Regions from separate parts of the Mus musculus genome. Here regions 1, 2, 3, 4, 5 and 7 are each reported to be linked to region 6. Evidence: microRNA targets listed by miRTarBase, many of them from high-throughput screens and not tested one by one. Region 6 holds a microRNA gene; each other region holds the end of a gene's coding sequence.
What was found. Region 6 holds the annotated microRNA mmu-miR-9-5p (UCUUUGGUUAUCUAGCUGUAUGA, at 2,402-2,424, shown strand). A microRNA usually pairs through its seed, bases 2 to 8, with sites in the 3' UTR of a target mRNA and lowers its output. Matches are read on the target gene's strand: a 7mer-m8 pairs with bases 2 to 8, a 7mer-A1 pairs with bases 2 to 7 and ends in A, and an 8mer does both.

Region 1 (4,451 bases), not on the chromosome of region 6:
GCCAGGGCTTGGGATCTTCAAAGAGAAGGTAAACCCAATACATCCCTTCAGGTCCAGTGACTGCGAGGTTCCTCACGGTCATGAGAGGTTGTCATAGTTCCTGGGAATGCTGGTGGTCACTGCCATCTCCTCCTAGGATGTGCTAACGGGCATGGAGTCATGGCTCTATCTGGGAGTTACAGGGAGGGAGTCTGCCAGCCAGTGCTGGCTGATCACAGCTGTGCAGCGCGTCATCCGTTCACATACAATGACTAGTAGTAGTGTGATTATACAAAAACCACTGTATCAAAGACTGGCCTTGACCTGAGTGGGCTTAGGGCGGGGTCCCCAAAAGCTGTCAGCTCTAATTTCTATGAACCTCTGGCACTGGAAGCTCCAGGGTTACACTGGGGGTCCACACCAGATCAGTCTGTCTCCCTAATGGCTCAGGGACAATCTTGCTCTTCAGCAAGCACCTATAACTTATGAATCTCACAGTTCGGAACCCCGGGGACAGCCTTTTAGCTTTTTTCCCCTAACCAGGAAAACACCTTATAACTCAGATAATGCAGTGTCTCTTAGGAAACTTTAGAATCTGAACACAACTCCAGTAAGTACATCACGGAATGAACAAGAATCTAGTATGAATAACTTACTTCTGAAGAAGAAAGCTAACCTCTCCCAGCTGGAATTTGTCTGAGGCTGGAGGACTGCCTGCCTAGAACAGGGCTCTGGCTCTGCAGCCGACTGTAATCCAGTGCAGGCAGGCCCGGGCCAAGCTTCAAGCTGCTCACCCTACATCCCAGTCAGCTGGTCAGCCCCCACTTCAGATCCGTCTGTGCACACTACTGTGTGCTGCTTTCCCCACTGATCTGCCAAGAATATCACAGAACAGAACAGTACCCAACGCTGGTTTTTCAACTTTCCATTTATTCACATTTCATGGATTGTTACACTTCCTTAAAGGCTCATTCAAAAGCTAACACACACTGAGATTACACTGCCTGACAATTCAAGTATTTTAGCTGGAGAAAACAAGTTCCCGTTCCGAGTAGAAGGCGGATCACTCCATGTGCTGGCTACGAAGTCTGACGTCACTTTTACAAATCTGTGTTAAGGGACAGTCCTCAGGCTTGTGATTGCTTCTGGAGAGCACTTGGTGGCTGTGTACAGAGCATGTGGCTAGAAAGACGCCCTGAAGAACTCCCAACCTCACCTACAAGTGACAGAGCAGGCCATCTCCTTAAAATCCCACTCCAGTGGTCTAAGTGGGTACTCTGCAGCCTCAAGGGGCTGTTTCTCATCTTCAGAGATAGTAACATAATGAAGAAACTGGCAAGAACAGACTTCGTAATGTTCAAAAGGTAGGGAAACGGCTTTCCCTGACAGCAAGGTGAATTCCCCTCTATGCCATAGGAGGTATTTTTTTTGTTGTTGTTGTTGGTTTGTTTTGGTTTTTGGCACACAGCATGTAAAAAAACAGGATTCAGAACTGAAATGGTAAAACAGAGCATCAGCCCACCAACAGTCGGACCTGTCACTGACACAGACACAGCCTGTACAGTGTGGCTCTCTGAGGAGGACATGGCAGGGCTGGGAATGTGTCATAGTGTGAGCTATAGTGTGGGAAGGCCCAGGCTTAGCATCTGCCAGATGCACCCTGACCACAGAGAACACACACTTCCTTCAGGCAAATGTAAGACACAACGTGAGATTTTCAAACTGGAGATACACACCTCAGTTCACATTAAACAGACAAGATGCAAGTTTCTAACACGTTAAACCATAAATGAAGTTTAAGCCATGGGTTGGAACCAGCTACACACACAGTGGAAGAAGAACAGAGTGCCCTCCGGGGGCCTCCCTGTGACACTCAGACTTCATAGTGATTCCCATACTCAGGTCAGATGCAATGAGCTAGCTCCTAAAGCATAAAGACAAGACACCGAGTTACAGTCACACCCCACACATCTCCCCTGTAATTCTTGTTTCCAAAAGTGATAGTCTTTAGCAGCAAATTGCTGGAATGTTAGAAAAAAAAGCAAGCCACCCTCACTAATTTACAACTGAAATTGGCCGGGGAGCTCTAGAAGGCAGTCCAGTCATGATCTTTTTTGCTTTTATTCTTTTGGTAAATATTCAAGGCATGGGCAGATGCTCACAGAGCACTGCCACCATGAAGAGACAAGTTCCTGAAAGTGCCTGTGAGTTTGACACGTGTCAGCCCCACAGGCACGTGGCTACACAGTACTGTTCTGAAATGCACACCCCTTGTTTCATCTTTGGAAAGCTGGGAAGCCCAATGTGAAGAAGCCAGGGCCAGGGCCAACAGAAGCAGCAACCTGCTTGCTAGGAACCAATTCTCCATGCTACAAGGCAAAACCAAACCAAACCGCACAGCATCTCCTTAGGTCCACAGCCCAAGAAGCACAAACATGCATCTGCAGATACGTGCCAAAATGCACAGAGCACTGTCACCCCACCTCAAGAACATCTCTGGGCTCAGGAGGCAGAGGCAGGTGGATCTGAGTTCAAGGCTAGCCAGGGTTACATAGTGAGACTAAGACCCATGTGAAAATAAAAGTTAACCAGGTTTCATCCCACCTAGCACGGCAGCTTTAAGAAAGCAACTGTGCCACCCAGCTTTTGTCGGAACCTGATCACACAAGTGTGCGCCCCTGGGTACTGACCCTGAGCCTTCAGACAAGATCTGGTCCTAGTGTCAAATGGTTTTATGAGAAATGCAAGTGGACTTTTAAAGAGTCAAACTTTCTATTCTATTTGATTTTATTGGGGGTGGGGGAGGTGTCTTACAGTAGCTCAAGCTGCTGTGAACTCAAATGATCTTCCTGCCTCAGCTTTTCCAGCACCGGGATTAGACAGGAACCATGACCAGCTCGTCATCAAATCTCGAATTTAACCCATGTCTGGTCTTCAGAGAATACTAGTATTAGCAACCTCACCGCTCTGAGGTAACATGACCAGCGTGTAGAACCATGGCTCTCTTCCAAATGGACATACTCAATAATACCTCATCCTTAAAAAAGTAAAGATAAAAATGTTTTCTTCAGACGCCAAATAATATGCTGCTGTCTGAAGCTACGGGCCAAATGAGCCGTCTTCCACTCCCATACTCTTGCTTCTCATGAGCACACGGCTCGTGAGAGAACTCCATTCAGACTGTGCCCACCAGGGCTCAGCAGGGCACAAACGGCCATGAGCACACAACCCTTTTCAGCACGATTTCACTTTTTTCTTTTAAAATAAAGGCTTATTTGTGGTATAGAAATGATATAAAAACACTACCAAATTTGTGCTTTTAATAAAATCCATTATTCCTGACAGCCCCCGTCCATGCTAACTAGGGAGGAAAGCTAGTAAGAGCACCTCATGGATAAACTCCAGACCCAGTCTGTCCACCGCCAGCTCCCCACGAGCCACCACTCATGGTCTTTCCCATGGAAAGGCGGTTCCTGGTTCAGTCAAGCAGCTCCAGGTCAAAGGCCAGCACCAGCCGAGACAGGCTGACGACAGATTCCCAGTACCCAGTCAGCTCAGAAGGAATGGGCAAGCGCGGTCGGTCACAGTGTGGCGGTGTGCTGTCTGGCAGGAGTGCTAGTCATGGTCAGACAAGCCCACAGGAAGGAAACGGGCGGTGTCTTCAGGAACACTGGGTCTCCTGGGGAAGGCAGAGAGCGGCACCACTGCTGCCTGAGGGAGCCTTTGGAGAGCTAACTGGTACCCTGATTATAGTCCATTAAGAATCACTTAGGTTAGTTTACTCAATGAATCAACATTAAAAACCATCTTCCCACACTTTTCACTCCAATGTATTTTGCTTAGTTCTTAGGAAGGGAGAAGAGCTTCGACACACTGAAAGGATTTATTGGCCTTAATCTTCCTCACAAAAGTTCAAGTTACCTAGAAGTTCTCAGAATGTCACAGTAGAAGAGGAAAGAATGTGACTAAGTTAGGGACGGAGGGGAAGCAGCAACGTGGCAACATGCCTTGGTCAGCCTCAGTGCTCAGGCATCCTTTTTCTCCAGTAAAATCTTGTGCAATTCATCGGCATCCTCGCTCGTCTTCACCCGGATCAGCATGGTGGCCGGGAGAGTGGGCTGCTTCTCATCGAGTGGGGGGTTGGGGACACAGACGATAAGGACGTTGTTCTTTCCTGTCCGGGTGCACGGCATGTTGGGGGCGATCAGAACATTCAGCAGTATGTTGCCTTTGAGTAAGCAAAGGGAGATATTCATCAGGACATAAAAATAACTAGAGAAACTATCTATCAAAGCTGTAGGATTCCGTAAGAGGCTAGGAGTCAATCCTGAAGCGACTTCTTACTGTGCTAAAGGTACCGCCATAAAGGCCTCCCGCTCTTGTGTTCGGGAGTGTGGCAGGCTGAGGGGAGCAGGGGCTTGACAGGCACCAATGGCGGGGTGCTTCCTTCCTCCCTTCTCCACACACTCCAG
Region 2 (4,451 bases), not on the chromosome of region 6:
ACCTTACTTTCTCAAGCAAGATTAAAAATATGCCTCTATCTACTAAGAAACAATGAAGTCATCTATTAAAGTGAAAGTTAAGACGTATATGGGGCTGGTGAGATGGCTCAGTGGGTAAGAGCACCCGACAGCTCTTCCGAAGGTCTGGAGTTCAAATCCCACCAACCACATGGTGGCTCACAACCATCCATAACGAAATCTGACTCACTCTTCTGGAGTGTCTGAAGACAGCAACAGTGTACTTACATATAATAAATAAATAAAATCTTAAAAAAAAAAAAAAGACGTATATGAGCTACTTCTGAAAAATGCTAACCAACTTTAGAACTTAACCCTACAAGCCAAGATCAGTGTGGGAGCCAGCTGATATTAATATTATGTGTGTGTACATATGTATACATGTATGGACAGAAGCCTGCAGAAGTCAGAAGAGGGTGTCAGATCACCCACAACTGCTGTTTCAGACACTTGGCTAAATACTGCAACTGGGAACTGAGACCAGGTCCTCCAAAAGAGCAGGATTCAGTTTTGTTTTGTTTTGAATTATTTCATTTTGTGCATGGCTATTTTGCTTCCATGTATATTTCTGCACCACATGCATGCCTAAGTGCCCTCAGAGGCCAGATGAGGTGGTCAGATTCCCCTGGAACTAGACTAACAGCTAACCATGAACTACCACACGGGTGTCGGGAACTAAACCTGGGTCCTCTGGAAGAATAGCTAGTGCTCTTAACCACTGAACATCCCTCCAGCCTCAACCTGTGATTCTTGCTCCTGGGAACACGTGCTGAATAGCAGTGGTAATTTTGCCTCTGCAATCAATAGGATATTGGAGGAACTAGGAAACGGTCTTGTCCTGAGGCACGACACAGAACACACTGCAGCTGCTGCCTTGCTCTTTTGGACCTTTTAGTTTTAGTTCCCGAAGCGATCTCATGTAGTAGATCCTACTTCATGATGGTCAGAATGGCTCCCATCACACATGGACTTTGTCATTAAGCTATCAAGGGGCACGATCCGTGTCCTCTCCTTGAGTCTGAGTGGGTTTCTAACTGCTTAAACAACAGGTGTACAGCAGCCATGAGGACATGTGGCCTCAGGAGTGTCGGTGGGATGGACAGAGCTCGGGTCTCATTGGCTGTAACACTGCTGCTTGGCGTCTTCAGGTGCGGCCTAAGTCTGCTTAACTTGAGGTCCCCATGCCCGGGGAAGGCTACCTGAGCCAGCTCTGTTCCACTTTCTCTTCACCCAGCGCAAGTGCAGCTACACGAGCAGAGGGCCAACCCCAGCCCTGTGAACTTTCAATCTTCCTGGCTGATTCATCTGATACAGCTCACAACTAGAGACGAAACAGAAACCAACTCTTTTTTTTTTTTCCCCCCGAGACAGGGTTTCTCTGTGTAGCCCTGGCTGTCCTGGAATTCAATCTGTAGACCAGGCTGGCTTCAAACTCAGAAATCCACCTGCCTCTGCCTCCCAAGTGCTGGGATTAAAGGCTTGTGCTACCACACCCGGCTTACAAACCAACTCTTGGGGCTGGTGAGATGGCTCAGTGAGTAAGAGCACCTGACTGCTCTTCCGAAGGTCCGGAGTTCAAATCCCACCAACCACATGGTGGCTCACAACCATCCATAACGAGATCTGACTCCCTCTTCTGGAGTGTCTGAAGACAGCTACAGTGTACTTACATATAACCAATAAATAAATCTAAAAAAAAAAAAAAAGAAAAAAAAAAACAACTCTTGTCCTTGTCCTGTTGAGATTATCCAACAGGGTCAAGTGACATATAAAATTGTTGTTTTAAGTCATTAAATTTTGGGGTCATTTGTCTTATAGGAACAGCAACTAGATCCCTCTGTTACTATTCAATTCCCTAGTAATCTAAAACAGGCTAAACTATTTTTAGGGTGGCAGGACACAGGAGGATATATCACTAGGAGAATCAACAAGAACAAACACGTGGGCCAGGGGCAGCTCAGCAGTTCAATTTGCTGACCTCGTAAGGGCCTGGGTTCCACCCCAGCACAGAGGAAAAGAAGACGGGGAGGCAGGGAGGGAGAGGAGGGGGGAAGCAACCCAGCAACTGAATCACAACATGCATCTGAGTCAGTATGAAGTTTTATTAACACACATTTGTCAAAGTCTGTACAAAGCAAACATTCCTATGTTTTAAAATGTCCATTATTACAAACATACAAAGAAGCAGAAGGTGTTACCAAAAGTTACTCAATTACATGGTAAAATGCTGTCATGATTTAAAAAAAAAATCACCATTTCAGGACTGAGGTTCCTCTATCTTTCAGGAGCTTGTGGTAGTTTAGAAAATGTGTGGATTTGCTGAATATTAAATGCTAAGACCTTAAAAAAGGTTTAGTATAAAACTAAGTAAGCCTTTGTATATTGTCACACCACACCAACAATTTCTCAGTCTTACTTTTCATTGACGAAACCATGACTGTTATTCTTTTCCTACCATCTTTTCCCCACAGCCAATGCAAATGCATTTGAAAAATACTGAACGAGTTTATCTTTACCGAAGTCTCTCATTCGGAAAGTTACAAAATGATTTAGCACAGCAGCTTTCCCTGCTTAGAAGGGAAAATTGCACTCCCGACCAGTGTTACAAAAACACAGTCCTTCGAATCTCCTGTCGGGAAGAGCCACTCGAGTGCGGACCGCTGCTCACCTGTGTGCATGTGACTCTTTGGAGAACGTAATCCCAGACTACAGAGCAGGTGAACAGTGACCCTGACTGTCCCAATGTCACTGCCTTCAGGATCCGCTCTAGCTCCAGCACCGCTGGCACTCACTGCAGGGTTTGCTCTGTGTCCCAGCACATACTCCCCATCTCTAGTTCCTTTCCCAAAGATGGAGGGGCGCAGCTCCTTCCCACAACTACTGAGTCAGACAGGGATAAGGGCACACCCTTCGGCTCCCAGAAGCGCGTGCTTTCTGACTTTCCATTAAGAACAGGGAGCACGCGGGATGAGGGAGAGAAAGGAAGGAACAGTGAGGTCCTCCCCACCGTGCAGCCCACACCCAAGCAACCCATGCCAACCCTCGGAAATGCTCAGTAGTTCACGTCTTATCCCGCTTGAATCTGCTCAAGTTAAAAAACAAAACCAAAGATCCAGGTTGTGATAACAACGTGGTACGACAGCTGATGTAGCAAGAAACAGGAATACTTTTAAAAAAGAAGTGGCAGTGTGGGAATTTAAAATTATGTAGAAGGAGGAGGAGGGGTGGGTAGAGGAGGAAGTGTCCAGTACAACCTGGACAAGCATCTTTCTGCCCTACTTAAAGACAGACTGGCCATACTCAGCAACCGTCCTTAAGCCTCTCCTCACACGCTCTTCCATGGGGTCCTCCAAAAGGCACTTAGCTCCACACGTACGCCTCCAACATTACCTCAGCATCAAGACTCTAAGGCAATGAGAAAGAAAAGGTTGCGTTCTTCTACTAAAAGCTAGCAAACGGGACTGGGTTTGTTTTTTGTTTTTTTTTCTTTTTTCAAAGAGGCATCACTTTTACAAGAACTAGCTAGGCTACCATCATTCCTTTATCAAGAAAAGGTTTCCTTTTTAAAAAATAAATAAAACTCTGTCTATACATTGTACAAAGGTCATACATAATATACCTGGAAAAAACCCAAGAGTATACCCTGAAGCAAAAGGTTTATTGGTGAGAAAAAGCCTCCCTCACTGCACAGAGTCTCCAGGTGGCAGTTTTCGAGGTTGGGAGCGGCAGTGATGTACAGCTGACGACAGACTGCTTGCTCACGGGGATGGCAGGTGTGATGGTGGACAGACACTCTGCACGTGACACTGAGCAGTGACCACTATGGAAAACAGAGTACTAAAACAGAGAGGGGGGGGCCACGGGGGCGGGGAGTGGGAGGAGGAAAGGAGGAGGTCTGGGACCCTAACCGCTCAGCATGCAGCCATAACAGGGCACAGACCAGGAGTTCCTTTCAGCCCACTGCATCCGAACAAAGAGGGTAAGGTAAGAAAATATAGAGATTTTGTAGGAAGCACACTTCCCAGAGACCAGCCAGCTCAGCAGCCCTGACCCGGGAGCACGGGCTTGGTGCTGGGAGCCTCCTCACGTCTTCACGGAGACGTTATGGTGCCTGACTTCTCAGACTTCTTGCTCTTGGACAAGGCAGCTGCCTGTTTCAGAAGCTCTCGGTTTTTGGCCTAAAAATAATAAAAATAAAGTCAGTACACACTCAGTTTCCACAGCATAGAATGTGGTTTTAATGCAGAATAGGTTTAATGAGTCATAGTAACAACGGTAACTGGGTGGGGGTGGTGCACACCTTTAATCCCAGCACTTGGGAGGCAGAGGCAGGCGGATCTTGTCTGAAACTAGCTTAGTCTTGAGTTCTAGGACAGCCAGGGTACACAGAGAAACTGTGTCTTAAACAAACAAACAAATAAACAATAAAAGAA
Region 3 (4,451 bases), not on the chromosome of region 6:
CTGCTTCAGAAATCTTGTCTGAGCTTGCCCAGCGGGGAAAGGGCTGCCGTACACAGGGACTACCAGGTACTGGTATGTGAAGAGAAGAGAGCTGCCCTTCTCTTGTCTTTTAATGCAAACTGCAGGACTTAAGAGTAATTTTGTTTTCTAGCATAAAAATGTACCCCTATTTTGGGCGCTGAAGACAGCTGCCATGTCCTTTGACACACAGACACGTGTTGTCTCTTGCTCAAGAACGTTTTTATTTGACTTATACAAATATTTTGTCTTTATATATTTATGTGTACCTCACGTATGCCTGGTGCCAGCAGAATTCAGAGTGTCAAATCCTTGGAACTGGAGTTACCACTGGCTGTGAGCCACCACGTATGAGGATGCTGGGTATCAAACCTGGGTCTCTGCAAGAAGAGTAAGCGCTTTCAACCACTGAGCCATCTCTCTAGCCGCAAGAACACTCTAAGTACATTTAACACTTCATTTTCCTTAGAGGAAACTCAGTCTCATGTTGGAACTTGGGGGCTAGTTTTCCTTATGTTGTGGAGAATTGCTTTATCTTTGCTTAGTACTGATTTTTTGACATATTCCTAAAGCCCCCCTCCCATTTTTAATAGCTTATCCAGATGTCTGCTCTTGTTTTATTCTCCATCTTTCATATGTAAGAATATGAAAGGCCATTTAAAATAGGAAGTGCACTGTAGGGCTTTTTCCAGAACATTAGATCAGTACATTGACATCAGGAGTTGGTCCAAAGATGACCTAATGTATAAAACAAAGCCAGTGACTCTTCAGGTTCTGCTGTTAACAGTTACACGGCAGTTATTGCTGCTTTCTGCAGTGAGCCAACAGAACATGTTCAATTCAGAAAGGAAAGCAAGACTGCACTAGAAAATGTTCAAGCAAGGACTATTCAGCATTGCTTTCTGGGATCAAGGAAGGAAGAGATGCGAAGGATATGAGGAGACAGAGACCACACAATTGACATTGCATTTATTTATTATAAAATAGGAATAAGACCACTTGGAAAAATATAAGAATAAATGAAATTAGCCAGGAGTGGTGGCATATACCTGTAATCTTATTCCTCCAGAGCTGGAGGTCTGAGGATCAGAAGTGACTACATATCAAGTTGTAGGCCAGCCTGGGCCATGAGAGACTGTCTCAATTCCTCTACCATTGAAAAAAACCAACAATAAAAATGGCTATAAATGCATAAAACCTTTATAATGTTATCTAGTACTTTAAATTATAGCAACACATGGACATATATTTTTAAGGGTATCTAAAGTATTTAACTGCACAACACAGAATGGTCCATGACCTGAGTTCCAGGGCTACACAGAGAAACCCTTTTTCAACAAAATAAAACAACAACAACAGCAACAAAAACAAAAAACCACCACCACCACCAACAAAATAACCCAAACCAAACCAAACCCACAAAGTCAAAAAATAAAAAATAGGGCTGAAGGTATAGCCCTGAGGTAGAGAATACACATATATATTACTCCCAGCTAATGTTGGGTTTATATATGTAACTTCTCAATTCCATATTGAGACCCAGGTTAGACATATTCAAATATACTTGTGGGGCAGCACAATTGGATATTTGAAATAAAATATATTAATATTATTATCAATGTATTTATATTATTAGTATAGTATTATGAGTATTACATTAATGGTGTATGGTTAAGCAGGTATATACCTTATGGACTATCCTAGTATCTAGTGAAATACTACGTGTAAGCTCAAAATCTGTTATTTACAAAGTCAAGATTTTCAAATTATCTACTCAAGATTCTCTTACACTTATTTATATATATTGTGAGTAGTTACAAGTATGCCAAGGTGTACATTGGGAGACAGGACAACTTACAAGGAGCCAATCCAATTCTCTCATCTTACTAAGTAGGACCTGGGGGTCAAATCAGGGTTGGTGGTAAGTGTGTTAATCCTCTGAGCTGTCTCACAAAGCCTACTCAACAAAAGACTAACTTAAAGTTTGATTACAAACATGTTATGTATTTGGAAAAAGATTGTATATTTTTATGTTTTTAAATAAAGACAATAGTTTAGTTAAAAAATAATTCTGGGACAAACCTTAGGGAATTAGACAAGACTGCTCTCGCATGTATTAGCTATTAAAGGGGAGACAGGCTGATGTTTAAGTAAACAAGCATACTGTGTATTACCCGAAAGATAACCTTCCCCTGAGAGGGCAGACTCTCCGAAGGTCTAGATCAGCTGCCTAAGTAAACAGTCACTGAAATGACACTGCTTGCTGCCTTTATCTCCACTGGTGGCCTATCAGAACCTGTGTCCCTACGCTTGCTCTCCCTGTCCTGTCTCTTTCATTTATGGCTCACTGCCAATTTCTAACATTTTCCTGCCTATCTTTCATTAAGTCTTTTGGTTTGAAATGGGCTCACTTGAAATGGAATCCCCTCTCTCCCATTTTTTTTTTTTCCTTTTTTAAACTTGTTTCAGATCCCATACACTGAAGCCTGCTTATGCAGCCTGTGCTTTTACACTTTTACCATCTTCCTCTTCCTGGCTCCAGGGAACTGAGTACCTCTGTAGTTGCTGACTGGAGAGGTTATTTTGGGTTATGAACGCTGGGGTCAGGGTTAGAGTGGAGAAGTAGCTGAAGTCAGTTTCAGTGAGTGAATCACATCTTTGTGTTTTACATCCCATATACACTGCAAATTGTTATCGGGGTCTAATTATTATGTGTGCCCAACTTCTTGTGTTAATTACTTGAAACAAGTAGAAAAATTTATCAATAGCTTTGTGGGGAGTAGTATTTCATTTTAGTCTTGTTTCCATATTTTAAAGTTATACCATTTACTTTTTGGATTAAGTTTGAGGAAGGTGACATTTTTTTTCCTTTATATTTAAAAAATAAACTGCTCCTATGTTTTAGATCATTAATAGTATGGAGATTACCACAACATACCTGAAAACAACTCTGCTAGATTAGTGTAAAAGCTCTATCTACCAAAAGTAGAACATGTCTGAAATAACAGCTAATCTTGGCTGGTTATCCTGTGAGCTTGAGAACTACAGCACGTTAGGTAAAGGGAGGGACTAAATCCATGTAAAGGACAAGACAAAGTCACCATCACTTAGAGCTGAGTCACCCACTCACTCAGGGAAACCAGAGATGCACCACACACCCGCAGGTGGTTTTGTTTTGTTTTTATTTACTGCAATTTGGAATTGAGTTCAAGTCTTCCTGCACACCACAGCAGGTGCTCTTCCTCAAAGTTATGCTCCCAGTCTATAGCCATTTATTTTAATGACGTTCCATGTTCTTAAAGCATTCCAGGAAATAGATAAAGATGAGCTAAAGTCATCTTTATTAAGTATTTGCAGACGGGAAAGCCTTTGCACCCGAGAATGCCTTATTTTTATAAACCGAAGGCTATAAGTGGAGTTAGGTAATGATCCACCTCCAGTCGGACGCCTCACTATGGCTGTGAAACAAAGATGTTGGTTCTTCTGCTGTTTTCTTCATGCATGTCTTTAGACTTCATGTTATTGGTTTGCTTTGGAACATCACTTCTTTGGAATAAGCCAACAAGGAAGGGAGACCAAAAGGGATAATAGTTTTATACCAACAAGAAAAGAAGGCTCTTACTTGAAACTGTGTAATGAGAGGTTTGTTACTAAAGTTTTGGTACGTAAGTTCAAGACATTTCCACAGAATGTACCGCTTTCCTCAGGATTACAGTGAAACTTCCCATTCAGAGAACACAGAGGATGACATTCTTACAGAACAATAAAGAAGCAGGAATTGTAAACTTTCATCTACTAGTGGTTTTCCCTCAGGCACTGAGGCTGTCACCATAGAGAAAGGCAGAAAGACCAGACTTCAAACATCACGAGCATTCTTCAGTAGCTACTTCGTTTTTTTTAGCAAGTCTGGCAATTAGATCTTTCCATTCTCCTCTCTTCTTTGTGATGTATGTCGGGGTGAGTAGCTGCAGCGGGGACTCTGGCTGCCGTCTAAAGAGACTCTGACACAAGGCCTCGGTGTTACATATCACGTACATCCCACAGTCATAGCTGTTCTCTTGAGCTGGGGCTTTCTCTTCCACAAAGACCAGTTTGTCTCCTTTGCTGCCTAAGAAAGCCTTCAGTTTCTCTGCTACCTGCTTTGCATGGATTGAGTTGCTCCTGCTATGGGAATCATAATGAAAGAAGCTATTTTTATCTTGGAGATAAACCAACAAACTCCAGTGGGTACCTCCGGCTGCCTGGTTAGAATTATCATTGATGGCTAAAAATACCACTCTTTTGTGGGGAAGATCCAGGGGTTCAAGGAACATGGCAATTTCTGCAGGGCTGCTGGTGCACTTAATGAACTGGGTGACTTCAGGGCTGATGAAACAGACATGGTCTGAGCAGTCATGAAACTGACTATTGGCAAAGTATTCAAAGGCAAACCC
Region 4 (4,451 bases), not on the chromosome of region 6:
ACCAGCACCGTGCATTTCAGTTAATAGACAGCATGTGTTCAATGACAGGGATGGAAAATTACTGTGGCTTACTAGTTTCAGAACTTAGCATTTCTGTTTTTCTAAAGCGAGAAATAAACTTGGGATCAGTGGGAGAAATTACTTCAAGGATATGCTTAGCAACAGTGGACATCGTTTTAAACAAGCTGAGAACCCACTTTGCTTGGCTCTTTGAAGTTAGTCTGATGGGCCACTGAAGGCCAGGCTGCTTACATCACCTCTGTCCTTGTTCTGTCTCCTTCCTCCTCTTGGTCCTTCTGGTGGTGTCCTGGGCTGTGGAGTCAGCGGGTTTGAGCCCAGTGGCAGACCCTGGGCTTTGTCAGACTGATGTCATGGTCAGGCTGTCCGCACTGAAGCTGTGCCTGCTCTTTAGAGATCACACAGCTGGTGTAGCTCACAGCTCTGTCATCTTTGGGGAACTCTGGCTTACTGTCAAATAATTCCCATTACACTGACCAGAGGCTGTGACTTGATGGTCGGAATGTAGAGATTGGTGAGGCCCTGGATCCATTTCAAAGGCTACAAAAATGAATTTTAAAATGCCAACATGGATCCAGTGCACGCTGCGCTCCTTTACTGTCTGGTAGCTTCATGAACGACAGTGCAGCTGGTCAAGAGTGAGAAAAGCTGAGGTCAGTTATACGTCTTCAGAGGTTGGAAAGAGCGTGACTGGCTTGGTTATTTACTTGAGGTCTCCCACAAACCCTGGAGTGTTTGCCAGAGCACAGGTCTGCCATGGGAAGAGTTTTGTCTCGCTTGTCACGTGTCTGGCTTGTGTCTAGAAATTTAAGTCTTGGGTTAACTGTAGTGAGTACCATGTCTGTGGAAGATGACCAAGGTCACAAGTTGTTCCACTTTAGGCAGTAGAAGCAGGGCAGAGCCGGAGCAACCCACCTCTCAAAAGGCCAGTGCGAACCCAAGCAGTGGTAGACCAGTCTGATGTGTACACACAGGTGCTGTCACCATTCGTGGAAAACAAGGTATGTAAGTGGGGTCCCTGCGTGGGCTACTGTGGGGAGCAACAGGATCCACACTATGGTTAAGTGAGCGGTATTGCCCTGGGAGAGGATCTGGGGCTGTGTGGTTGGCGTCTAGTTCATAAGGATTTGTCTAACACCAGTAGCCAGAACACTGGACTTTACTGGGGATCAGTGGGCTGCCTGTAGCTCCTTTTGCAACTGACATTACAAGACCCCCTTCTTCCTCCCTAGGAGATGCCGCACAAGTTTGTGATAGCTGTGCTGATGGAATATATTCGTTCTCTGAACCAGTTTCAGATTCCAGTGCAGGTACTTTCAGAGGGGTATTTGCCATCTTAAGTTAGAGAGAGGAATGAGATCAGAAGAGATGGCTAAAGAATCTGCAGACCCCAGGTGCCTTAACCATGACATTTGGTTCTCAGTGGGAACGGGTGTGGCCAGCCATGGTCCAGTGACTCAGCGATATAATTTACTTCCTCCTGTGTCCCCAGCACTACTTACATGAACTTGTCATCAAGACACTGGTCCAGCATAACCTCTTCTACATGCTGCACCAGTTCCTGCAGTACCACGTGCTCAGCGACTCCAAGCCTTTGGTCTGTACCACTGGATGCCCATTTTGTAGTCACTAAACCTTCCAGTGGGACCCTTCAAACTGAAGCTAGCGGAAACCCTGTCTTTCAGGCTTGCTTGCTGCTGTCCCTAGAGAGCTTTTATCCTCCCGCCCACCAGCTATCTCTGGACATGTTGAAGGTAACTGCCCTGCCACGGCTTCAGGTATCCCCAGCATTCCTTCCCGTGGTTGCCCTTACCTCTCCTTCTTACTTCCAGAGACTTTCAACAGCAAATGATGAGATAGTAGAAGTTCTTCTGTCTAAACACCAGGTGTTGGCTGCCCTGAGGTTCATCCGGGGCATTGGTGGCCATGACAACATTTCTGCTCGCAAATTCTTAGATGCTGCGAGGCAGACCGACGATGTCATGCTCTTCTATACCATATTCCGCTTCTTTGAACAGCGGAACCAGCGCCTGCGAGGGAACCCTAACTTCACACCAGGTAAGGGAATGCCCAGGGTGGCCACAGACAATGGCAGCTTTCATCAAGTTCAGGGCTGAAGGGCATAGCTTATATCTGACTTTGGGATCTCTCTATAGAATCAGAACAGGAGTGCACATGGTGGAGAAGCATTTGAAATGGCTTGGGCTTTGAATGCTTCAGTTTTAAGCAAGTAGTGATAAGACAGGACTCGAGAGAATGAGCCTATGCTGTGTATACACACACAGCACAGACGGTATGAGTGACAGACAGGTCAGGGATGCTCTGGCTGCTGAAGGTGTGAGCTCTGCAATAAAAGACCTCAAAATGGAGGAGGAGGTATTTTATTAAAGAAAAATAAGTTAAAACCCATGAGCGTTGTCTGCATCCTGTCTTCCCGGGCCATAACCAGCTGCTGACTGAGCCGCGTTGTCCTTACAGGAGAGCACTGTGAAGAACACGTTGCCTTTTTCAAGCAGGTTTTTGGAGAACAAGCTCTAATGAGGCCTACAACATTCTGAAGTCCCTTAATAGTCTTTTTTTTTTTTTAATATAAAAATGTACAAAGTTAATTTATTGCATTAATAAAGCTCTTTAAACTACAAAAAAATGTAATAAAGTACCTACAACATCCTCAAATGTTGCTAACTCCCAAAGAAAAGGAGACAGCATGTGGGGTAGGGATCAGGTCACAGTTATTGCCACTGGGAAATGGAAACTTAAGGGTTCTTTGGAAAGTCAGTTGTGTTAGATGGGGTTTTGCTGGGGCAAATGTGAAAGAACATTTTGCTGAAGCAGACACAGGTGAAAGGCAGACTTGTGAAGGACTGTTTCCCTAAAGCAAGCACATGAAAGGACACGTGAATGACAGGCATGTATTGGTTGGTCTGCCTTATATTGTGTAGTTGAGCTCCATGTGTTGGGACTCCACAGAGAGAATATAGAGCTAGCTGTGTAATGTTTGTTGGTCTCCAGTCTTCGCTGATAGAGGAACAGCCAAGAACCTCTGGTGTTCCTGTCGGCCCTGGTCCCTCCTGCTGAGGCCTGGCTGCTCCTATCCCAACACTGCTGGTGTATCCGTGAAGTGTTTGCGAGTGGGTCGAGCTGCCACTGCTGACCCGTGAACTGAATTGCTGGTTTCCTGATAATGCAGACAGGATCTGCTCCAAAGAACCATTTCTAAACAGGTCCACTTCCCCTGTATCCTTTCTTTCCCACTATCTCTGGTTGGTGGTGGGCTAGAAGGGAGGTTAAAGTGTTTAATAACCTCCATTAAAAGTAGGCATTGAAACAAGTTAAAGTGACAGAACTATCCTTCCTTGTACCCAAGATGAGGTTTCTACTGGTACGACAGTAGGGGCTGGCGATTGTTGCTTTCAGATCCATTAATACTGCTTCACAAGTTAGGTGTGCATTCCTGAGTTTAAAAGCGTGGGTAGAGCTGCATGTGACACAGCTCGGACACAGCCTGAAGCCAGCTCAGTCTTGACAGCGCAGCTGTCTTGCAGTAAACTTGACCTATCCATAAACACAGTCACCAAAGCCTGCTACAAGGCTAAAAATTGAGGAGCCGTTCTCTCTCTGTCCCTCTGTAGCGCTCGTAAGTGGTGTGTCTTTTAGCTTTATTCACCGACGGCCCTGTGTGAGACAAGAGAAGGCGTAAGTAACCTCCTAGGCATGGAAACCAGCCATGCTCTTGTTGCTTTTTTCTATTTTATTTTTGTGTGTGGGTGTTTTGTCTGCATGCATGCCTAGCCAGAAGATGCTGCATGGTACAGCATCTATGCAGCGCTCCAGAGGCCAGAAGAGGCTGTCAGATTCCCTGACTGGAGTTATAGTTGTGAGCTGCCATGGGGGTGCTGGGGACTGAACTTGGGTCCTCTGGAAGAGCAGCTAGTGTCTTTCTTAACCGATGAGCTGTCTCTCCAGTGACTTAGTAACAAAGCTGTGAGGCAGACTCATCCTGTTACCTTTTCAACTGGGCGTCACTGTATGAGGTGGAGTGAGCCCTGGCCTCCAGGATGCCTAAGGAAATGCCCTGGCCAACCGAGACGCCCTGGGGGAGGTTTTACTGTTTCCTTCTATGGTTTTAATGCAGTATGAGCTAGCTGTCAGTACAAACTCAAATACTTTAGAAAGTCCAAGTTTAAATTTTTCTTTGAGCCAGGGTCTTTTAGCTTAGGTTAAACTCACTGTTAATGACCTTGAACTTTGGATCCATCCTGCTTCCACTCCCTGGGATTTCAGGCTTGTGACACCATGCCCTGTTAAGTAAATGTCGTTCCTCCCACGCCCGTGAGAAGAACGAAATGCTCTTACCTATGTAACTGAGTAAGACGGGAAGAAATATTAGTCCATGAGTGGCTCCGAGTAAGACCATGGCTAAGTACATCCTG
Region 5 (4,451 bases), not on the chromosome of region 6:
GGACGAATATGGAAGATAGGTGGCTTTGTTGGGGGACCTTGTGCCGGCTCTGCCCTGTGGTACAAGCACACTGCTGAGACCTGAAGTGGTCACCTGATACATGAGGAAGTATGTGTCTCTGGCAGTTAGAAGGAAGCCATGTGTCATCTCTGGTCTCAGAGAGGCTTTTGGCTCTCAGAAATCTCCTGTAGCCTGGCCCATGGATCCTTCCTGACTGTGGGGACAACTGATACTATCTCCATGGAGGGTTAGAGGGTTTAGATACAGGGGTCCCAACTGAAGCGTGGGGAAGACCACTGTGTGGCTCCTCAGATACTGAGCTGGATGGCAGATGAGACCCTGTAAAAGCTGGCATCTGGCTGAGTGGGGTTGGAGCCGAGCAAGTAGGAGGGGCTGCAGCGGCTGAGGGCACTGCCCATGCCTTCCCCCTGCTGCTGATGTAGGTCTCCCAGGTGTGTGCATTTGGGACCTGGCCTGCAGCCCGGTCTCTCCCTAACCATCTGTCTCTCCCCACAGGAGTTGCTGCTCTTCCTCCAGAACCTGCCTACTGCCCGCTGGGATGACCAGGATGTCAGCCTGCTGCTGGCTGAGGCCTATCGCCTCAAGTTTGCCTTCGCAGACGCCCCCAATCACTACAAGAAGTGAGCCTGGGGCCCATGGCAGTGGCCTCACCCTAGGGATAGCATCCCCTCTCTGCCTGGGCAGTTGCTGGCCTCTGGACTGGTCCTTTCCTGGTGTGACCTAGCAGAGTGGACCCAGCATGGTCCAGGGCTGGCAGGATAGGCAGCCTAGTTTGATGAGATACCAAAGAGAGCCCAGGAGAGACTCCTAGCTTCAGAAGCTCAGTGTGGCCAGGAGTGCCCTCACCCTGGCCCTGCCTTGCCAAATGCCCTCCCTACAGCCCCCAGTCCAGACAGCCAAGAGGAAGTCCCTCAGAGAGCCCTGCTGTACGTACGGGTGCCAGGCAGAGGTGGGCAGCCATCTCAAGCCTGCTCTCAATTGCACAAATCTATTCTGTCAAGTGAAAGAATAAAGTCCAGAAAACAATGCCGAGCATGACTTAGGCTGAGCTAGGAGTTCTGCACACAGAGCCTTTAATGGCCCCATGTTTAGGTTGACTTGGTTTAAACAGGGCTAGGTCAGGAGTTAGATCCTGGGAGACTGTGGAACAAGAGGAGGCCAGGGCAGGCTGAGGCTTCTCACGGTCACCTTACTTTCTGTTTTTAATTAACTGGTTCCCTGTCCGGGTGAGGAAAAGGGTCAAGGAACCCCCAGGTGGGCAGGGGTTTTTGTCAGTCAGGGTTCCAGAGATTGTCTCATGGGCCCAAACTTGACCGCAACAGGGCAGAAATTAGTGGTTCTAAAGTCCCAGCCATGTGTAGGGGGCTTCTTCCTAACACCACCCAGATGGCAATAGCCAGGAGCTGCTGGGCTGGCCTCTCTTCATGCCCTACTGCCCTTTCCAGAGCCACTGGGTTAGAGCCTTTGCCCCGTTGCTGGCCTTCTCCAGGGCCCTCAGACTGGCTTCTCACATGTATATCCCACAGATGCCCCCACCAGGCTGCCTGGCCTCTGTGATGTGGGATCCCCAAGGACCACCAGGCCACCTGTAGGACAAGAGCCTAGACTCCTAGAGCAGCCTCCTGTCCTCAGTTACCCACTGCAGCCCACTCTGACCTGTCCCTTCTTTAGGAGCAGCGCAACACTGCCCAGGCACTAGGACTCTGCCCAGAGGCTGTGGGGAAGACATAGGGAAGACGTGTGCCTGCTTCTGTTCAGATGATCCTGGGTCAGGTGGGATGTGACATCAGCAGAGTGCTGTGCAGGCAATCCGATGTCCTGGATCAGCAGAGGGACATGCTCCCTCAGACCAGTGCCTGTCCTGGGTGAGAGGCACCCAGTTATAAGGAAAGCTACCTCTGTGGCTCTGGAGAAGCACCATCTTCCCTGATCCTTCCATGGTGCGGATCACCCCTCAGCCAGAAGGGTAGGCCCATAACGATCTGCCCCATGGTGTTTTTATGAGATGACAAGGACCCATGAGGTTAACTTAAGCCCTGAATGTATTTTTATGTGTGCAAATGCTTGACTGGGTGTACGAGACGCTGGCGACAGTCCTGTGTCTGAGCCCATGAGCTGAGCCGGGCAGGATGTGTGCTTTGAATGTGATGTGTTGGAAACACGAAATAAAGATGCTTCATATGGCCTGTGGTCTTTTTATTGCATTTATTTGATGATGGGGGCTGGGGTACCTGTGCCATGGTCCAAATGTGGCAGTGAGAATACAACTTGCCGAAGCCTATTCTCATCTATCATGTAGGTATCAGAGATCAAACACAAGATGTTAGGCTTGGTGGCAAGCTCCTACACACACTGAGCCATCCACCTTGTTAGCCCTATGGTCTTGACTCACTTTCTCTTCAAGGCTTAGGCCCTGTCCCAACACTGAGCCTTGTGCTCTAGGCCTAGTCTTGATCACAGCAGTGCTGTGGCCTTGCTGACAAGGTTGGGACCTCAGGAGAGGAAGAGTACGTGCCCATGGCACGGGCATGCCACTTTCCTGGCTCTGACCCTCTGAAGTCCAGACTTGGTATTGTCAGGAGCCAGAAGAATAAGTGTCAGGGCCTCCAAACTTTCTGCCAGCCTCTGGACAAGAGACAACTCCAAGTTTCCTTTGTAAAAAGCATAAACTGAGTTGGCGCTGGGATCTGGGCCCCTCTGCCATACCCCCAGGAACCCAGGGCATGTCACCCTACCTTCGGTCCCAGTGTAAGAGTCATGACCCTGGTTGAACACCTGCCACGTGCTGTCATTTCCTTAATTGAGTACTTCCCTGCCTGGGATGGGCTCCTGGGGCCCAGGGTTCCTGGACAAGCTCCTATCCTGGGTGGTAGCCAGGACACCGAATTCACAAGACAGAACCTACCTACTTAGCTCTACTGTTGCGAAATGCCTGAAGTGACACCATGGGGCAGTCACTATGGCGAGGCCAGCTGTGTTGGAGAGGGGAGGGTTTCCTGGGATGACTTGCTCATGTGGGAGCACTCATGCAAGTCTATGTGGGAGCACGGAGATGAGCTGCAAGAAGATAGGCCCTAACTCAAGTGCAGCCAGACGGCCTCCAGGTATGTGTTGTCCTGGGCATGCCCTATCCAAGAGTGTGGGAACAGAAAGCCTGAATTCAGGCCCCTCCTGGAGCCTCCCTACCCTTCTCTCTGTGCATTGGCCTGCTCCTCTCTCACCTCAGGCATTCTTTCCTCTGGTATGACCTTCAGCTAGCAGGGCTGAGCCACACACATCTGCCCCATGTCACTTGGAGTCCTTCCAGACCCTCTCTTCAGTCCCTGGCATGGAAGATGCTTAACAGGTAGCTTTGGAGGCACACAGATGAATGACCCTTCAGGTCCATTTCGCTGACAGATTGAGATTGCTTAACATCTCCCATCAGAGGAAAAATGTGGGACCAGGTGGTTTACTGCTGGATTCTGCCGAGAATTTCAAGAGCTAACACCACATCCCTTCAAAAAACCCAAAGGGGAGGGACCACTTCCAAACTCCACTTACCAGGCCAGTATTCAGTCTCCTTGGTACCAAAACCAGACAAGGACTGGGTCCTAGAAGAAAAGCCAAGGAAAGGACAAGGAAAAGACAAAGGACTCAGGAAAATCCTTAACAATTCCATGAATTCACGACACATGGAAGTACAGTCCATGAGGGCAAAGTAGGATTTGTTTTCCATGTGCAAAGATGGTTCAACTTAAGTAAATATGGTATGCCTAATTAACAGAATGAAAAAGCCACGTGATCATGTTTTACATGCAGGAAGAGCAGCTGGAAAATTCAATAGTCTTTCATAATTCAAAACATTATCCAAGCTAGATGCACACCTTTAATCCCAGCGGGGACGGGGGACAGAGGCAGGTGGGATCTCTATGAGTTCAAGACCAACCTGGTCTATATTGTGAGTTCCAGGACAGCCAGGGCTACACAGAGCCATGTCTTGAAACAAAAAACAAAAAAGTATGCAAACTGAGTATAGAGGAATTATTTACAGTATAGAGGACTACACCTCTGCAGAGTGAAGACCCTGTGTAAGAAGCCCACACCCAACAATTTACAGTAGAAAGCGGAAGCCCTTTTTAAGGCCTGGAATGAAACAAGGAAGGCTGCCTGTTCTCACCACTGGAGGAACTCAGTACAGCACTGGAGGTACTCAGTACAGCACTGGAAGTACTCAGCCTAATACTGGAAGTCCTTCCTGGACAAAGTGATAAGGAAGAGAATTTAAAAAGGAGTCAGAAAGAAGATATTAACCCATTCCTGTTTGCTGTTGGCATGGTTCTACTAAAAGAGAGAAATTACAACTAGTGAACAAATTAAAGTCCTAGCATTTGCTATGACAGCAGCAAACTCAGAGGCAGGACTCAAGAGAACTACCCCATTTACAATGG
Region 6 (4,451 bases):
TGGCTTTGTTTTGGGCTATTCATGGGACTAGCAGATAGACAGACCCAATGGTTAAAGTGATAGTCCCCTAAATGGACTGCTGGTGACTCCGTGTTTAGGGGTCCCTGGTTACAGGAACTGGCTGGTTTAATCTGACCAGCAGGATTTAGGCATCTCAGCCAGTTTTATAGAAGGGACCCAGCAGAGGATAAGTAGGAGGATGAAGGGACCGCTCACTGGCACACAGAGCAGCTCCTGGGGCCCATGGTTGCTCTGAGAATTTCGATGTACCTAGAACCCAGATGTTGCCCAACAGCAACTGGCTACTCCCCGGTGCTTTTCTGCTTCTGCTTCTTTGGTGGAGAAAAGGACCTTTCTGGCTGGACTGGATTGAGAGCCAGGTGGAGGAAGTTGAGGACGGGGACAGAGCTTTGCCTGAAAGGCATCTTCCTTGGGGAACCGAACCCAGAGCTGGCACTGCATGCCTGGGAGCCTGGAGGAACATGGGTAGAGGGAAAGACCTATTAAAGGTCTCCAGGACTTGGCCAAATTCTGAGTCTCAAAAGCAGCTAGGATTCTGTGGTTATCTGCAGATAGGGTCAAGGAACATTCCCCTGAAATGCAGAAAAGAGGGCCCCCTTTGCTCGCCCATTGTCTCATAGCAGGAGACTCAAACTGCACAGTCTTCCCTTCAGTGAGGGTTTGAGTTGAAAACCTTGAACAAAAGAGACCCTTGCCTCTCCTAAATATTAGGATCACAGTTTGGGAGGAATTAGAACTCAAAAAGACTCTAACGGTGGGGTGAGGTGGGAGGGGGTCAGAGATAGAGTCTCCAGTCCGCATCCCTGCCTCAACCTCCTGGTGCTGAGATTACAGATCTCTTCTCTTTGAGGGAATTTTGCCCTATTTATTTTCTATTTTTGCGTGCTGGTCTTGGTGCAATGTACCGTAGAGCCCAAAAGGAAAATGTAAGATCGACAAGAAGAGCGAAGGTGGCCATCAGAACCGCAATTGGCAATGGATTATAGACGTGGCAGGCGGGTTGTAGATGAGGCAGCAAAAGACTAAGGATTGGCATAAAGACATTGGATCCCATTCTCTGGGGGAGGGGCACCCCAATTGCACGTCTTGGACTGGCCTGGGGAGGGAGGGGGTCGGGCATGGAAAGGCTGGGGGGGAGGGGGGGAAGAAACGAGACAGTGACGTCAGACCAGGTATAGCCAATCAGGGGCTGACCTGAGGAAGGAGTGTGAAGGGATGAATGAAAAGTCCGGAGCCTGAGAGCGCCCCCGCCAGAGCAGCGGCCAAGGCTGAGGAGAGAGCTGGGACTCGAGACCCTGCTCCACCCTGCTGGCTCTCGCTCGGCCCCATTACCTGGCAAGCCCCGGCATCCTTGACCCACGTCCGTGGCGCTGCCTGGGTAGGAACGCGCCTGAAGACCGCGCAGGACACTACCACTGGGCATCCTGGGTTTGATGTAAGTGGCCTGACCCGCGTGGGGCACGAGGTGGGGAAAGCGCCTCAGAGTCCAGCGCGCGCGTCCGCCACCTGCGACCACGGAGCTCTACACCCTCTGCACGGTCCCTGGACCTCCTTCCAGTGGGTTCAGTCCAGATAGCCCCCTCCAGCCACTAAGGGCATCTCTCACTCAGACCCCCAGTGGCATATTTCACATCTCTGAATGATTTCGGCTGCGTTTTGCACAAAACCGGCTCCCGCGCGGTTCCGTAGGTCCAGGGCTCGGAGCACCTGCCTGGTCACCCTTTGCCCTAACCCGCAGCCCCACGTCCTGACTGCTCGCCCGATTCTCTCTGGGTGGGGTCTTTGCCCTTGGGAGAGTCGCTGGGGAGTCTCTAGATCACCCTCCACCCCGCCGCCAGCCACAGGCTTCCCTCTGGGCCTCGGGGTTCCCCAGTGCTGGGGTTCCCGTCCGGGGCTTCGCGGCCGCTCCCCTGCAGTCGGTAGCTCGGAGCAGCTCTGCGAGCTCGGCTCTGCCGCACCCCGCGGAGCTCACACTCGACCTTCCAGAGAAGGGTGTGGACACCGTGGGAGGTTGGGGAGGCCTCGGCCTAGGCTTCTGCGGTCTTCCCGGATGGCACGAAGGCCCTGGAGCCTTTCCACTAGCACCGGCGGAACCCTGCTTCTGCACGGAGGAGGGAGTGGGAAATGGGCGGTCAGGCTTGGGGCCGCTTGGTTTCAGCCTAGATTCCCGACCTCAGAACCGTCGGCGGTAGCATCTTTTCCTCGCCTTTCTGAGGTCTCGTCGTGATAGTGCGTGAGGTCCTGGATCCCATCTTTTCGCCTCCACACCACGCGCGTCCCCCATCCGCCGTCGAGCGACTCGAGACTACGGAGGTCCAGGCGGTGGCCGGGAGGCTGCGTGGAAGAGGAGGAGGCGGCCAGGAGGCGGGGTTGGTTGTTATCTTTGGTTATCTAGCTGTATGAGTGGTGTGGAGTCTTCATAAAGCTAGATAACCGAAAGTAAAAATAACCCCATACACTGCGCAGAGGGCCTGGAACGCTGGTAGTGGCCGAGCTGCAGGAGGGAGAGCCGTGCCAGGCGTGCCTGGAGGCTGGAGGGCTGGGGGGAGGGGGACTCGTCGCCTTCAAAGGTTGCTCAGCCCGAGCCACCTCGCGATCCCCACCCGCAACCTGCTCACCTGGGAAGAAAGCAAGAAGCCGCTCTGGGGTCGCCTCTGGAGGCCTGGTCAAAATGGAGCAGTCTGGGCCTCAGTCCGGAGAAGCCGCTCCCGGGAGAGACAGAGCCCTTGGCTGAAGGGTTGGGGGGAAAGTGCAAGCATCCCTCTCCCGGTCTCGACGCATCCCGGGAGCGGGTGGCTGGTGTGAGCAGCTTCCCTCTGGCTCTTCGAAGCGACTGGTGGAGTTCGAGGTTCGTAGGATGTCTCTAGAAAGCTGGTTTTTGCTTTGGTGGTTTCCCTGAAGCCCTTCAGCTTTACTGGGAGTCAAGATTGCCCAGGTGGGAACAGGTCTAGGAGCGGGGAAGGCTTAAAAACCAACACACACATCGAACTTATTAGGGAGAATGGCGATGCAGAAACAAAGTAACCACAAGGGCAAGGGCCAGAGTGGCCAGAGACCTTTTTACCCCACAGGAATTCTGGGACCCTGGGGCGCAGGTTCTTTGCTTTCACTTTGGCCTTCAGGACCAGAGCTAAGTCTAACTGAACTCTCTCTGGCTGCTTTGTCATTAGTGGCTAAAGGTGTAGAGTTGGGGTGGGGGGCTTTAGAGCATCCCACCTTTCGGTCCTAACCTCACTCTTGGAAATCGTGTCCCAAAGGAACAAATGGCCTCAAGGAGCTCTGTGGAGCTCAAACACAAAGGAATGTGTAGCTGTGCTGCCCAGAGAACGCAAAGAATTAGAGAGATTAATTTGGGCTCCTGTAAAAAGAATCTATTTATCTTGCCTGACCTAAATATTTTAGTGAAAGAGGGTTTCTACAGCTGAGAAGATGGTCTAACAAACATGGCCAGAGCTAGGAATCCCCTCTGCTCTCATGGCCCTCAGCCGAACTTGACCAGCTGGCACTTGGAGACCTGGGCTGTACCGACTAATAAGAGGCAGAAAACTGGGCAAAATGTCATCACCCAGACTCCGCTGGTTCTTATAAATTTAAAATTTCCTCCCGGGACCTGATTTTACAGTTAGAAGATAATGATTCAATTTTGTATTACATGGGGGGAAATATTAGAGAATCCAAATTCAAATTCTGGGACTTCAGGGAATCTATTGCCTGTGTGTGTCTTCTTTAGCAGTTAGGGGAGGGAGAGTCGAGTGGCCTCTTAAATTCCAGAAGCTTGGAATTTGTTTTGTTTTGGTAGGGGTGGTGGGGATGAAGCTTAAGTCAAGGAGAAAAGAGGCTGGGTCTAGGCTGGAACTAATGGTCTGGCCACAGCCTGTTTTCTTTTTCCGCTGCTTGAGAGATGCCATGTGATCCCATGTTACACAGGCACAAGTGAGCAGCTGACATTACTCACTGGCTTGACACTCAAAGCTCCTTCCATTTACTCTGTCTTGGAGAAAGTGACACTCCCCACCCCAAGGGAGCCAACTGGGAAAGTAGAAAGAAGGGAAGCCTCTCTGTTATTGGGAATTTGCATGGGCAGAGGAGGGGCATCAATAAAATAAGCTTCCTTATCATTACCATCTTTAATGTTTCCTGTATAGTGTCTTCACTGTAAATTCCAGGACAGCCAGGGCTACACAGCCCTCTATCATAGCACAGGCCTATAATCTGAGCAGTTGCAAAGTAGAGGACGAAGGATCAAGAATTCAAAGTCATCCTTGTCTACACAGCAAGTTCTTGGGCATCCTAGAGTCCCCCTAAACACACACACACACACACACACACACACACACACACACACACACACACACCACATATTCCCAGGAACACTTAGAGTCTCAGTTGCTAACCACAGTAGTTTTATATTATTGTTTCCCATGAGCACA
Region 7 (4,451 bases), not on the chromosome of region 6:
GCCACACTTGTTTACTGACTTAAGTGTTGTAGGTCTCTTTTTGTAGCTATGCTCTTGCTTCTGGGTCTGAGCTTGGTCCACATTCAGACACTGTCATTGAGACCGTTTGCTGTTTCCTTATGTGGCAGTCCATCCCAGGCAGAGCTGGTTCTGAGAGGCCTGGGCAGGGGCAGTGGTCCACACTCCAGAAGTCAGGACTTGATGGGAGCAGCCCCCAGCTGAGGTTCTCTAGAAGAGGGGAAGCAAGAGTACTGTCCAGCCCTGGCCATCCTACCACAGTGACGGCAACAGTAGCCATAGCCAGATAGCAGGTTGTTAACAGTGGGGCAAGCCCAGCAGGGGCCGAAGTCCCAGTGTTCCTGAATCTGTCTCTTGCCTCACCCCAGGCAAGGAGCCTGGCTTGTTTGACCTGGTGATCATCAATGACGACCTGGATAAAGCCTATGCAACCCTGAAGCAGGCGCTCTCTGAGGTAGGCCCTTCCCATCTACCCTGTCTTGGGGAAGTCCCCTGCACAAGCCATCCTGTGAACGCAGCAAACCCTGTGTTGCCGGGGCTCACACCCTGCTGTGTTGTAAGCAGCCCTGGCTTTGCCAGTTGCCAGAATGGTCAAGTACAGGTGCAAAGCCGGAGTCCCTGGGAACCCAGGGAGGATATGAGCCCTAGCCCTCCCTGGTTCCCTGCCTCTCCTGACTTTCTGTTTCCCTTCTTCCTTGGCAGGAAATCAAGAAAGCACAGGGAACTGGCCACGCCTGAAGGCCTGCTTCATTCCACAGAGTGATGTCTGTGGTCTAAATTTGCCTGGAGGTGGGGGAAACTTTGCCAGGGCACCAAGGACTTGTAGTAGACTTCCACTGTGGAGTAGAAGGAGCTACCCTTTGTCTGACCACAAGGTGGCTCTGCACCGTGGGCTGACTCACTGGCTGAATGACTCCAAAGAGTACCCATATCTAATCTCCCTGGACTATTTGTGTTCCTTTCCTTGTTCCTTCTGCTGGAGCGGGACTGACCTCTTAATAAAGTAATTACTGAATTATAGTGTCACAGCCCTCCATACTGGGCTTATGGCCTCTGGCTTTCTGCCCCTCCATGGTCAGCCCAGATGAAGGCTGCTAAGGGGGCTCTGCATAGGTGTCTAGTGGCCCTTGTCCCTGCCCGCATCCAGGGTCCACTAGTCATCAGAATGCTGGCTAGGGTTGCTCGTGTTCACTTCTTCCCCTGGGAGTCAGGCAACTGGGACAATCAGTATGGGCTGGAATCGTCTCAGCCCTAGACAACCTAGTGCTGCTGTCTCTTTGAGGTATTTCTGAGCCATTTGGGGACTCAGAGGGACAGATACCACTTGCCAGGAACAAAAGTGCCCAGCTGCAGGGGAAGAGCTAAGGTCATAATGCTGGCCCTGGAGCTGTGGGTGCTGTGTGTTCTTGGCCTTGGGTATAGGCAGCCAACCCAAGGAAGGGCAGGTGAGCCCTGTGAGGGCTGCAGGCAGGCAGAGTCCTGGGCCTTCTGTAAAGATCGCAAATTTTGAGCTCTAGAGGTTGTAGCAGGGTGCAGCATTCCTGAGGGAGATGTCCCTCCCCTCCTGTCCACGATGAGACATTCTGAGTGTCTGGTCCTGCTGTCCTCCCTCTTCCTCTGGGCTCCCAGCCCAGGCTGCTGGCTCCGCCCAAGAGAGCAATCCCAGCAGGGAGGGCAGTGGTTGTTGCCAGCTACCCCCACCCGGTGGTCAGCCACAGCTCTGCCTTGTGCATCTCCAGGTGAGGCTGCTCCTGGGGCAGACTTGGGGGTATTAACTGGATGTGGGTGTGAAGAGGGCAGGCAGGTACCCAGGCAGAAGTAGCCAGAGAGACTGGGAAGTCCTGGGCTGCCTCCAAAACTGCAGATGTTTCTCTAGAAGGGTGAGCCAGAACTGCCTGGACTTCAAGTGGAGGCTGGGGAGACCAGCAGGCCTGTCTAGATCCCTGCTGCTCCACCCCCAGGGACAATCATGGATTCAGACCCTAGGGGGAACAATGGAGCCCTTGAGGGCCCCTCCTCCATCCCCCATTGTGCTTGGTGGCGAGAGGTGGCCCTAGCCCCACAGTATGCCCTTAGAGAGGATCAGCATCCAGCCGGCAGGTGGAGGGGCTCAGCCGAAGGTTTGCATTTCCAGCCTGGAGAAGGTAGGGAGGGTACTGCTGGGGCTGCAGCCTGGCTGGGCCTTGACTGGTCTGTACTCCTTACTGCTAAGGTGGAGGTTCCCAGGTTCCTGCATCCCCTCTCAGGCTCTGTGGGGTGTGTCACAGCTGGTGCCAGATGCCACCCTGGAAGACTCACTGAGTCTCTGGCCAGATCTTGTCTTGCTGTATTAAGGGACCCTCAGGGTGTCCTTTAGCTTGGCTTCAGCTGGCTTTGTGGCTCTTTTGGGGTAACTAAACCCATGGTAGAGGGAGATGGGAACAAACCGGAGAGCCTAGGGTATTTTCAGTACCTCCCCCAGCAGCTGAGACCCTTCAGGCCATCTTAAGATGGGCCAGTCCACCCCAGCCAGTTGTAGTGTGTCCCAGGGATCAGTATGGGCACCAGGCCCAGTCTACTCAAACTGAAGAAACTTCATTATCCACTTGCCTGCTACCAAGCAGACCCTCTCAGCAGCTGGACCTACACAACCGCTGCTGTGTTAGTGTGGCGCGGTAGCCAGCACAGAAGTCTTTGGGATGCCACAGCAGTTCACTCTAAGTGCTTCCTTCCCACCTACCTTCTGTGTCTAGGGACTGCAGAGAGGGAGATATGAGGATGGGCAGCCAAAAGGGGAGATACAGGGTCCAAGGACGGGGAGGTTGGAGAAGATCCGTTTTGGAGGGCCTGCTGGCTGGAGTTGGCTCTGTATGGGACAGTGTGGACCCAGCTGGGAAGTGATTTCTAGAAATGGGGAGGGGAACCTGGCTCAGCTGTGGAGGGGCTGGCAGGACTGGAGAGACAAGGACCAGGGTGAGTATGGGCTTTCTACAAGGAATTGGGCACACGTGTGTACTCTGGGCAATGCCAAAGGAAGGCATGGAGAGTGGGAGGGGGTTGCCTACTCAGGCTAGTGCCTCCGTTTTTGGAATGCAGTTTAGCTGAAGTCTCAACCTGTAGGAGTTGTCTAGACTTAGGGTTGTGACTCTTACACCAGGTAGGTGCAGGCTAGCCCATCTGTTTTTCTGGTCCCCACAGTCTGAAGTTGAAGTTTTGCCTTCTTGAACTTCCAGGAATGTGACTTGGGTGCTGGTGAAGAAGGCCTCACAGGTCAAAGCGGGAGGTTGGTAGTTTCTGCTGGGTGCCATAACTCTGTGGTAGAGTCCTACATCTTCAACATGTTTAAATTTACAACAGAGGAGATAACAGTACAGAAAAGATCCCAGAGGACCTCATTTCCCATTCCATACTGGCATGAAACACATCACCATAATAAACTCTAGTGCTGCCTCTGTTAGTGAAAAGCCGCAGTCTGTGTGTTTCCTACATTCCCTTGCCCCTCCTGATACCACAGCACCTCTTAGTCTCCTTGTTTTAGCTGCCCATGGCTACTAAAATACTACTCGGGTATTTTTCAGGGTGCCCTCTTGGAAACTGGCCTGTGTTTTCTCTTGCTTTGTTGGGGTTATGGGTTTCAGAAAGAATACTATGGGGGTGATGAGCCTGTCTATATAGGTGCTATCAACAGCCATAATGGTGAATCATAGGGCTCAGGTGTCACGGCAAAGGTACAAGTCCCCATTTCATGCTGTCCTCTGATATGTTGCTTCCCACATGTGGCTGCTGGAGTGGGTGTGTGCTCCTCTTAACTGTGTGTCCCATCTCAGAGTTCCTCTGCACAGAGATGGGATGGTTCTCCAGTCATCAGCCTGGTTATTCATGGGTGCAGTTGTTATCTGGGGTATCTGTAACCAAAGCTGCAGTCTGTGATTCTACTTTCCTTAGTCTACTGGTTAAATTGTTACAGTGTCAGTGTAAGCAATCCACCTATCAGTGTGTGTGAGTATGTAAGCACGTTCTTCCTCTCTGAGCTTTCTCCACACTCTTGTTTCCCTCCTTAGCCTTCTGATCAGCCACTTCCCCCAGGGATTCGCAGTTCCTTTTATTGAAAGAGAAGTTGGAAACCAGAACCCAGGACCTAGATAGGGTCTTTGTTTTGTGAGCGGGGCTTGAGAAAGGGTCTCAATGACATCAGACTCGCCGTGCAGCAGAGGATGACCTTGAAATTCCAATCTCCCTATCTCTGTCTCCCAAGCACTAGAACTACAGGCAGCGTGAACATACCCATGTCACAAATGCTCGCACTTCTCACGTGTTTCCACAGCCAGGGCCTTTCAGAGGACACAGCCAGAGATCATACACACACCACAGGTTTCCACGGTGTATCTGTAAATGACCTCTGTGAGAGTCCGGGTCCGCCTCTACCATGCTAAACACAAATGCATTCTAGAGTC

Region 1: miRTarBase lists Nup50 as a target of mmu-miR-9-5p. Seed matches in the 3' UTR shown: 7mer-A1 at 2,259-2,265.
Region 2: miRTarBase lists Fam76a as a target of mmu-miR-9-5p. Seed matches in the 3' UTR shown: 7mer-A1 at 2,702-2,708.
Region 3: miRTarBase lists Senp8 as a target of mmu-miR-9-5p. Seed matches in the 3' UTR shown: 7mer-A1 at 3,564-3,570.
Region 4: the mRNA of Npc1 is a reported target of mmu-miR-9-5p. Seed matches in the 3' UTR shown: 7mer-A1 at 2,783-2,789.
Region 5: the mRNA of Tbc1d22a is a reported target of mmu-miR-9-5p. Seed matches in the 3' UTR shown: 8mer at 804-811.
Region 7: miRTarBase lists Guk1 as a target of mmu-miR-9-5p. Seed matches in the 3' UTR shown: 7mer-A1 at 934-940.

What each region holds. Positions count from the first base shown.
Region 1 is chr15:84,939,402-84,943,852 of GRCm38, reverse strand. Nup50 (nucleoporin 50) reads right to left here. Exons shown (of 8, transcript NM_016714.2): 8 at 890-4,207. The coding sequence ends at 4,005. Among named protein-coding and RNA genes, the nearest start is that of Mir1249, 10 kb to the left of the region's middle.
Region 2 is chr4:132,897,113-132,901,563 of GRCm38, forward strand. Fam76a (family with sequence similarity 76, member A) reads right to left here. Exons shown (of 9, transcript NM_145553.2): 9 at 2,101-4,196. The coding sequence ends at 4,110. Among named protein-coding and RNA genes, the nearest start is that of Stx12, 15 kb to the left of the region's middle.
Region 3 is chr9:59,733,286-59,737,736 of GRCm38, forward strand. Senp8 (SUMO/sentrin specific peptidase 8) reads right to left here. Exons shown (of 2, transcript NM_027838.3): 2 at 974-4,451. The coding sequence ends at 3,882. Among named protein-coding and RNA genes, the nearest start is that of Senp8, 15 kb to the right of the region's middle.
Region 4 is chr18:12,187,310-12,191,760 of GRCm38, forward strand. It overlaps Npc1 (NPC intracellular cholesterol transporter 1), which reads right to left. Exons shown (of 25, transcript NM_008720.2): 24 at 4,375-4,451; 25 at 2,385-3,693. The coding sequence ends at 3,611. Rmc1 (regulator of MON1-CCZ1) reads left to right here. Exons shown (of 20, transcript NM_029623.2): 15 at 900-1,019; 16 at 1,251-1,328; 17 at 1,511-1,615; 18 at 1,704-1,772; 19 at 1,851-2,076; 20 at 2,497-2,665. The coding sequence ends at 2,576. Among named protein-coding and RNA genes, the nearest start is that of Rmc1, 21 kb to the left of the region's middle.
Region 5 is chr15:86,496,297-86,500,747 of GRCm38, forward strand. Tbc1d22a (TBC1 domain family, member 22a) reads left to right here. Exons shown (of 13, transcript NM_145476.2): 13 at 517-2,207. The coding sequence ends at 645. Among named protein-coding and RNA genes, the nearest start is that of Gm34965, 110 kb to the right of the region's middle.
Region 6 is chr3:88,213,212-88,217,662 of GRCm38, forward strand. It overlaps Mir9-1 (microRNA 9-1), which reads left to right and starts at 2,387; the gene lies at 2,387-2,475. All of the region lies in intron 2 of Gm3764 (predicted gene 3764), which reads left to right. Mir3093 (microRNA 3093) reads left to right here and starts at 1,960; the gene lies at 1,960-2,046. It overlaps Gm25641 (predicted gene, 25641), which reads right to left and starts at 2,459; the gene lies at 2,402-2,459.
Region 7 is chr11:59,180,457-59,184,907 of GRCm38, reverse strand. Guk1 (guanylate kinase 1) reads left to right here. Exons shown (of 8, transcript NM_008193.3): 7 at 387-472; 8 at 721-1,053. The coding sequence ends at 756. It overlaps Gjc2 (gap junction protein, gamma 2), which reads left to right and starts at 2,082. Exons shown (of 2, transcript NM_175452.4): 1 at 2,082-2,162.